Linked DNA regions of Caenorhabditis elegans. The protein of the gene in region 1 purifies or fractionates together with the protein of each later gene. This does not show direct contact. Each region holds a gene or a part of one and is shown on either strand. Other genes may lie near its edges. The genes, in order: C11D2.7 and Y47D3A.21.

Region 1 (3,484 bases):
AATTTTGTACGATTAATCAAGAAAAATGTTTTTATTAGCGAAACTATTAGTGGGTAATTTAATTGATTTTTAGTTAAAGAAATACTTTTTAAAACATCTGAAAAAGCTGTAAAACGACGACTTTAATTTTTTAAATATAAAAATACAGCATTTTTTGTCGAGAAATAAAATGTGTTTCAGTCTGCATTGCGTACACGACACTTTAACGTACGACAATTTGCTAGGCACTGTGCAGAAGGAGGAGACGCAGAGACACATCTGCGGAGCGTCGTAACAAACACGTTTTTCTCTTTAAAATTTTTATTTTCATTTTTTACTACTCGGTAGAATTGTCACATATTTTTCACTTTTTAGGTCAGAAAATGCTTATTGACGAAGTCCTCGGTCCTGCGGAATCTGGAAAATTCATCGTCGAGCATGGAAATCTCGTCAAAATCAACCAGGCAGGCGTTCGAAAAGTAGCAGAACATGTAAATCCTAAAAATAAATGTTGAATGAATGTAGATTAATATTTATAGATTCTCGGAGCTGCAAAAGATGGATCTCTGAAAGAAGCTCTTTTCTTATCGCCGGAATTACACCCGAAAAGTGGAGATAAAGATGCCGTCCAGTGGTGAGAAAACTTAAATTGTAACTATTCCTCAAATCTGATCTTTTTAAATTTGAAATCATATTAAATTGAATTAATTTCAGGGTATTATTGGTGGATACAATCAATTTCTCATTCTGGCCGGATGAGGGAGATCACTATGATGTTAGCTGGGGTGGAAAAGCTTACACTGGTTACTTCGCAGCATGTGCCGCTGTCAACAAGGCTATAGCCGCCGGAATTCCAGTACTTTCTGCTGAATGGATGAAAAATGTTGGCAGAGAAGAAATCGACAGGATTTTCAAATCCGATTCAGGACACTCAATTCCACTACTTGACGATCGAGTGAAGGCTATCAATGATTCAGGAAAAGTTCTTCTCGAGAAATTCGATGGACAATTTTATAATTGTGTTATAAAATCAGAGAAATCCGCTCAAACTTTGCTGAAATTAATCGTCGAAAACTTTGTCTCTTTCCGCGATTTTGCCGAATTCAACGGACAAAAAGTTTCGCTTCTGAAGAGAGCACAGATTCTCGTTGCGGATGTCTATGGATCCCTTCAAGGTCACGATGATGCGGGAAATTTCAAGGATATTACCACGATCACAATGTTTGCTGACTATCGTGTTCCGCAAGCTCTCGCTTATCTTGGTGCTCTGGATTATTCAGAAGAACTTTTGAGCCAATTGGGTGAAGGAAAACGATTGGAGAATGGATCAAAAGCGGAAGTTGAACTCAGAGGAGCATCTATTGCAGTTTGCGATGTAAGATTCCAGATATTTCTGAAATTTTGTTGTATTAAACGCTAAATTTTCAGGAAATTGTCGCCAAGATGAACGAACTTCGTGAAACCGATCCAAGATTCTCTGATGTTTGTGAAGTTAACGCCATGGAAGTTGATGTCTATGTCTGGGGATATCGTCGACTTTATGCTGCGGATGTTGAAAAGAAAGTCCCGTTCCACAGGACTCGCTGTATTTATTATTAAATCTGTATATGTAAATATTAGTATTTAATTTTTAGTGTGAATTCTAGTGATTTTAGCTTTTCGTATCATCTTCTGTTTTCATTCCGTGTTTTTTTTCTTTCACAGGTTTTAAATACTTTATTTAACACATTCCATTGACACTTCACTTTGAGCCTTAATTTGTTATATGAATTTTAACATTGTTTTTATTTTGCTGAATTCTTTTGTTTTGGTTGTATACCAATTTTTTAAACTTATCCTTGTTTTCATTTAGTTCAAATCTTACAATTTTTTTTCAAGAACCATGTTCAAAAAATTCGACGAGAAGGAAGATGTGACAGGCGCTACTCAGCTCAAGTCCAGTGTTCAGGTATCATCTTTAATTTTAATTAACTAATAATTATAAAAATTTTTAGAAAGGAATTCGCAAGAAGCTGATCGAGAACTTCCCCTACTTGGAGCCACATCTTGAGGAGATCCTCCCGAAAAAGGAGAATTTCAAAGTGATCAAATGCAAGGATCACATTGAATTGCTCGCCGATCATCTGGGTGTCGTGCGATTTGTTAAAACACGTAACACTGATTACATTCCAACTTTGAGAACACTTCACAAGTATCCATTCATTCTTCCACATCAACAGGTTGGTTATAAATTGATTATTTACCTGGTTCAACATTTCCATTTATTGATGAAAATTCAAATTTCAGGTCGACAAAGGTGCCATCAAATTCATCCTGAACGGATCTTCAATAATGTGTCCTGGATTAACATCGCCAGGAGCTAAACTCACTCCTCTCGTACCAAAGGATTCAGTGGTTGCTGTGATGGCTGAAGGAAAGCAACATGCGTTGGCAATTGGTTTGATGTCAATGAGCAGTGAGGAAATTCAATCTGTGAATAAAGGAAACGGAATTGAAAATCTTCATTATTTGAACGATGGGCTGTGGCACTTGGCTGAAAAATCGTTGAACTGATGTGCTCGAATTCCCGGTCGTCGTGCTCTTTATCAGACTTCCAATAATTTGAGATGATCTTTATTTTATATGTCCATTTTGGGATTTAATTTATATTTTCATGCACTTTCTTTTGTTGTATCTTTTCCTTTTCCATCTCGATTCTCATAAAATTTCCAAAGTTTTCCGTCGAGTTTCTTGATTCTCTTTTCTTCCCTTTCAATACGCCACGCTATTTCTTCCAGTTGAGATTCCTCATTTTTGCGAACTTGCCTGCAATTTCTCAACATCAGAGCGAAACAAAACAAACTTCACTTACTGATTCGCGTGATGAGTCTGTCGTAATGCGTGAAGTTGAGTTGTCAAGCTGCTCAACTTAAAGGCTTTCTCCGAGAAATCATCGACTAAAACCTGAAAAGAATTGTCCAGAGCACATTGATACTTCTCGGTTACTTCATTGCAAACAGCCAAGCATCCAAGAGCCTCACTGATTTTATTATTCTGCTGCTCAATGTTCCTGGAAAAATTATTTTTGCATTAAAGTACACATGAGCAAATATTATCTCGCTAGGTATTTGGCGGGAAAACTGAAAATTCGAGCGATTTCTAAATATAATTATTACCATTTTCTAATCATTCTCCGTCTATTTTGATGTGTTTCCTGCTGGCCTAAACATGCATTTATAACAATTAATTCGGCACGAAAATCATTTAACAAACAACAGAAAAAATAACAAAAATGTTTGATAGCTGACAAAATCGGCAAAACTAACTGAAAAGTTTAAATTTACAGTCTTGGCACCTAATACGAGACCCAACTGTGGGAGGCGGGGCGGTTTTAATTGGCTGTGGAGCGCGTTTCCACATCGATTTCAAAGGGAACATTCTGCTCCTTTGAAATCTCTTCTGCGTCCCCATAATAACTCACAATTCAATAGCATCAAGAAGTCCCCGCTTCTCGAAATAGTTTGTT
Region 2 (4,989 bases), on another chromosome or scaffold:
TTTAAAACCTAAAATTCCTAAAATTCTCAAAATTTTGCAGCTAATGTCCCTATCAAAAGAAGGAAATCTTCGACGAGAGAATACGTGTGCTTCTGAAGAAAATGGAAATATTCGGATGAAAACTTGCTCGAAAAAAGCACAATTTAACGAGCGTTGGGCTTATGAGGTGAGATTTTATGGGAAAAATTTCGAAAAAAACCGCAAAAAATCGCTCAAAAATCAAAATTTAATTTTTTATGGACTTTTCTTTTTAAAAAAAATCAATAAATTTAATTTTAACGACATTTTTCTTTTAAAAAACCGATAAGCCCATTTTTATCCATTTTTTGTTTCAAAAAATCGATAAATTTATTTTTTTTAATCGATTTTTTTTATAGAAAAATAGATTTTTTAAAAAAATCATTTTTTCAGAAAAATCGATAAATCCAATTCTTATCGATTTTTTTTATTAAAAAAATCAATAAACTTATTTTTCATCGATTTTCCGCAAATAAAAATCGATGAATCCAATTTTATCGATTTTTACAAAGAAAAATGAATAAATTTAATTTTTCTGCAATTTTTCGATAAAAAATCAATGAACTTATTTTTTATCGACTTTTTCTTTGCAAAAAAATCGATAAATTCATTTTTTCAATCGATATTTTTAATTTTTTTTTAGAATTCAAAAATACTTTTTTTGTCGAAAATTGGACCAAATTTCCGTTAAAAAATCCGAATTTTTCAGAATAAAATGATTCGAAATCTGAAAAGTGGAAAATGCATGTCAACAGCCAACTTGAAGCCCGGCGACAATGCAATCGTTGTCGAATGTGATGAAAAGGATGAACATCAGAAATGGAATTTTATCGATCCGGCGAAAGCTTAAAATTTGAAAAAGTCCGCCGCTGATTTTCAGATGAAATTCTTGAAAAAATCGGAAAAATTCTGAAAATTTCATAATAACTTATTCATTTTTCTTTTTAATTTAACGCTTTAACTAATTTTCATTGAAATTCCAAATTTTTTACTTTCCATTCCTTTTTCCTCCGGTTAGGCCGTTTTGTAGTCCTCGTGGACAACAATTTTCAGAATTTTCGAAAAATTAAATATTTTTTAAATTTTAAATTCAAACGAGGTTTTTTAAAAACGTTGAATATTTGAATATTAAGCTTTGTACTCCTTTTGGAGGAAATTTTAAAAAAAATCGAGTTTTGTAGTCCGCGTGGACAAGTTTTTCTTTTAGTTTTCCACTTTTTTGAAGTTTTTTTTCGCGAAAAATCAAAATCTTAATTTTCCTAAAAATCGAAATCAATTTTTCGAGAAAAAATCTCAAAAACTTGTCCACGAGGACTACAAAATCAATTTTTTCGAATTTTTTCTGATTTTGTAGTCCTCTCGGACAAGACGGTTGGGTCACAAAAATTTGTATTTATTGCCAAAAAATGTTGAATTTTCTCCCCTGTTTCCTAGTCAATTTACGGCTCCAATTCACTTTGCTTCCCCAAATTTCTTGTTCTGTGATACTCTTTTTTTCGGTTTTTCTGGGTTTTTTCGTTGTATTTATGTGATTTTATTGTATTTTATTGCATTTTTTTGCATTTTTCGTGGTTAAAATGGTGAAAAAAAAATTTTTTTCAATTTTTACCCGAAAATCCCGTTTTTCCTCGGGAAATTATATTTTTATTAGCTTTTTGAGCCATTTTTTAAATCGATTTTTTATAGAATGTCTGACGGTGAGACTGCTGTTATTCAATCTCTGGCTCCAGGGCCAATTGATGGAGTTTCTTATCCATTGAAAATGGTTTATTGTGGACGTGAGTTGATTTTTTTGGCTGAAAGTTTGAAAAAAATTGGGAAAAAATCGAGTTTTGTAGTCCTGTTTTGATAACAATCTTGAAAAAAAAAATTTTTTTTGGTTGAAAAATCTGAAAATAAATCGATTTTTGCAAATATTTCGATAAAAATTATTTTAAAAGTTTCAGAAAAATCTACAAAACTCAAAATTCGGAGTTTTTCGTCAAAAAGTTTAAAAAAATCGAGATTTTTTGCAAAAAAATAGGAAAAAAAATTTAAAAAAATCGAGATTTTTGCAGAACAAAAAAAATAGGAAAAAAATGAGAAAAAATCGAGATTTTTTTGCAGAAATAGGCGAAAATTTGCAACAAAAAATCGGAAAAAAACGAGAACAAAATGTTTTTCCCCAAATTGAAAATTTCGAAAAAAAAGCTAAAAAAATTATTCAGAATGCTCAATGCCACCAGAATACTGTGACTATTCGGGACAAACGGACGTCTGTCGTGCTTGGGCCACTCAAAATGCTCCAGAACTTCTCGAAGGTCTTGAAATTTCCGATGAACCAGCAGCCGACGGTGATGAGAAAAAGAAGCAGAAGCGTGGAGGAAAGGGCTCAAAAACTGGAGCCGCTGCTGCTCAGGCTGCTGCTTCCGGCGGAAAAAAGAAGGGCGGTGGACCACAGAAAGTGACGTTGCAACGGGAGCCACGTGGAAAGAAGAGTGTCACTGTTATTAAGGGTCTCGCCACTTTTGGTATGGAGTAAAATTCGAAGAGTTTCAGAAAAATTGAAAAAAATTAAATTTTACAGTTTTTTAGGAAGAAAAAATTGGAAATTTGCATAGAATTGCTGAGTTTTTGAGGATTTTTTTTCTACCAAAAATCAAAAACTGTTGTAATTTTTTTTTCAGACAAAAACGTAAACTTAGGTAAAAATGAAAACAAAATTTTTTTTTGTTTCTTTTTTTAGAACCGCAGTTTTTAACCAAAATTCCAGCAAAATGCCAATTTTTTGTCGAAAAATCTACAAAATTCAAATTTCGGAGTTTTTATACATACAAAAAGTTTTGAAAATTAAACCACTTTTAGTACGGAGCAGCAATTTTATTTTTAAAAAATTAAAAATCTAGATTTTTTAGGTTAAAATTTGTGAAGAAGTAGTTTTTTTAAAAAAATTTTTTGCAACTTTTGTAGTTCGCTCGGACAAAAAATGCTTTTAAGAAACTAGTTCTTCACAAATTTTAACCTAAAATCTAGATTTCTGATGTTTTTTTAAAAATTGGTTTTTTTTTCTTAAAAAAAACCACAAAAATTTGAATTCTCACTAAAAACTTGTCCAAAAATACTACAAAACTCTCTTCGAGAACTACAAAAATGGAATTTTTATGTCCAAGAGGACTACAATAGGGACTTCGCTTCAAAATCGAAAATACCTTCAAATTGATAAAAAATCGTGTTTTTTTTTCAATTTTGACAAAATTCCCTTCAAAATGAGTATTGCGACCAATCAGCGATTTGCTCCGCCCACTTTTGAACCAATCAGATTCAAAAAAGGGAGAAGTGAATCGCGGATTGGTCGCAATACTCATTTTGAAGGGAATTTTGTCAAAATTGAAAAAAAAACACGATTTTTTTCAAATTTAAAGGTATTTTCGATTTTGAAGCGAAATCCCCATTGTAGTCCTCTTGGACATAAAAATTGAATTTTTGTAGTCCTCTAAGAGAGTTTTGTAGTATTTTTGGACAAGTTTTTAGTGAGAATTCAAATTTTTTGTGGTTTTTTTTATTTTTTTGGAGTAAAAATCATTTAATTATTGATTTTTTCGAAATTTACAATATAAAATTCGTAAAAATTTTCGAAAAATTCCAAACATTTTCCAGACATCGATCTAAAAGTGGCTTCAAAGCTGTTCGCCCAGAAATTCGCGTGCGGCTCGTCAGTCACCGGAGCCGATGAGATTGTGATTCAGGGAGATGTGAAGGATGATCTTTTGGATTTGATTCCCGAGAAATGGAAGCAAGTGACCGATGAGCAGATTGATGATCTCGGAGACAAGAAACGATAAATTTTTTTGGCTGAAAAATCGATAATTTGAAAAAAAAAACATTTTTTACTCTGTTAAATTCAATTTTTCGGTGTATTTTTTTAGGTTAAACAGCAAAAAAAATTCTCTAAAATCGAAAAAATCAACTTTTGAAAAAAAAAAATCCCAAAAATCGAATTTTTAAAAAAAATCTTTAAAAATTGAAAATTAAAAAATCGATTTTTCTAGAATTTTTTTCTTGACAATCGATAATTTTTTTTCAAATTATCGATTTTTAAGAATTTTTTCTTGAAAATCAATATTGTTTTAAACTGTTTAATCTAAAAAATACACTAAAATATTAGGTTTTCAACTAAAAAAATTGTTTTTTTTTTCAATTTTTGAATTTTTTGTTACAATTTTTCTCTATCTCCGGTTATTCCATATTTCCTGCTAATTAATTTGATTTTTTCCATCGATTTTTCATGTTTCTCGCTCTTTTTTTCTGATTTCCATAAATTACACTTTTTTTTTGAATATTTTCAACAACCATTAAACATTAGAGTTTTGTAGTCCTCTCGGACAAACCACAGAAAAATTTTGAATTTTTTTTGTCCGAGAGGACTACAAGAAAGCTTAAATTGGAGGAAATCTATTTTTAAAAAGCTTAACTTTTGTAGTCCTCTCGGAAAATATTACCAAAAAAAATAGTCGAAAAATGCAAAGTCAAATCCCAATTTTGTAGTCCTCTTGGACACAATTTCCATAATTTTTTAATTTCTAAAAAAATTTAATTTTCAGAATATTTATTTCAAATAGACAATGAGATTCAAATAAGCATAGAGATATACAAATAAATAATTTTTTCGCAAAAAAAAATCAATAAAAAGTGGGCGGAGCTTAATTAAGGTTTCGACGAATGCGGTGGAAGTGGGTCTCGGAACGCGTTTCCCACGTGAATCCAATTGGTTTTCCGGGCGTCTTTGAGACTTTCTCGAAGCTTTGACATACGGTATTCGTGCATTTCTGTAGAGAAAAAAAATCGATAAATGGGCGGAGCCTATTGCAAGTCCGCCGCGCACTTTTTTTGGATTTTTTTTGAAAATTTTACAAAAAATACAGTTTTTTAAACTTAAATTAATTTTTTTAAAACTGAAAATCTACCATTTTCAGTCAGAAAAGGGGCGGAGCC

What was found.
Region 2: the proteins of C11D2.7 (region 1) and Y47D3A.21 fractionate together in Caenorhabditis elegans (co-fractionation; one large-scale study listed by BioGRID). This does not show direct contact.

The regions. Positions count from the first base shown.
Region 1 is NC_003282.8:6,153,770-6,157,253, reverse strand, and holds C11D2.7 (PUA domain-containing protein), read left to right. Parts: upstream 1-1,857; 5' UTR 1,858-1,861; coding exon 1,862-1,927; intron 1,928-1,973; coding exon 1,974-2,198; intron 2,199-2,265; coding exon 2,266-2,532; 3' UTR 2,533-2,630; downstream 2,631-3,484. Other genes in the region: C11D2.4 (Queuosine 5'-phosphate N-glycosylase/hydrolase), read left to right, coding at 363-470, 519-613, 694-1,354, 1,408-1,578; C11D2.3 (BLOC-1-related complex subunit 5), read right to left, coding at 2,631-2,784, 2,831-3,028, 3,440-3,484.
Region 2 is NC_003281.10:11,275,633-11,280,621, reverse strand, and holds Y47D3A.21 (Density-regulated protein homolog), read left to right. Parts: upstream 1-1,704; 5' UTR 1,705-1,705; coding exon 1,706-1,796; intron 1,797-2,225; coding exon 2,226-2,528; intron 2,529-3,654; coding exon 3,655-3,839; 3' UTR 3,840-4,325; downstream 4,326-4,989. Other genes in the region: gly-9 (putative N-acetylgalactosaminyltransferase 9), read left to right, coding at 41-166, 728-868; Y47D3A.20 (uncharacterized protein), read right to left, coding at 4,702-4,823.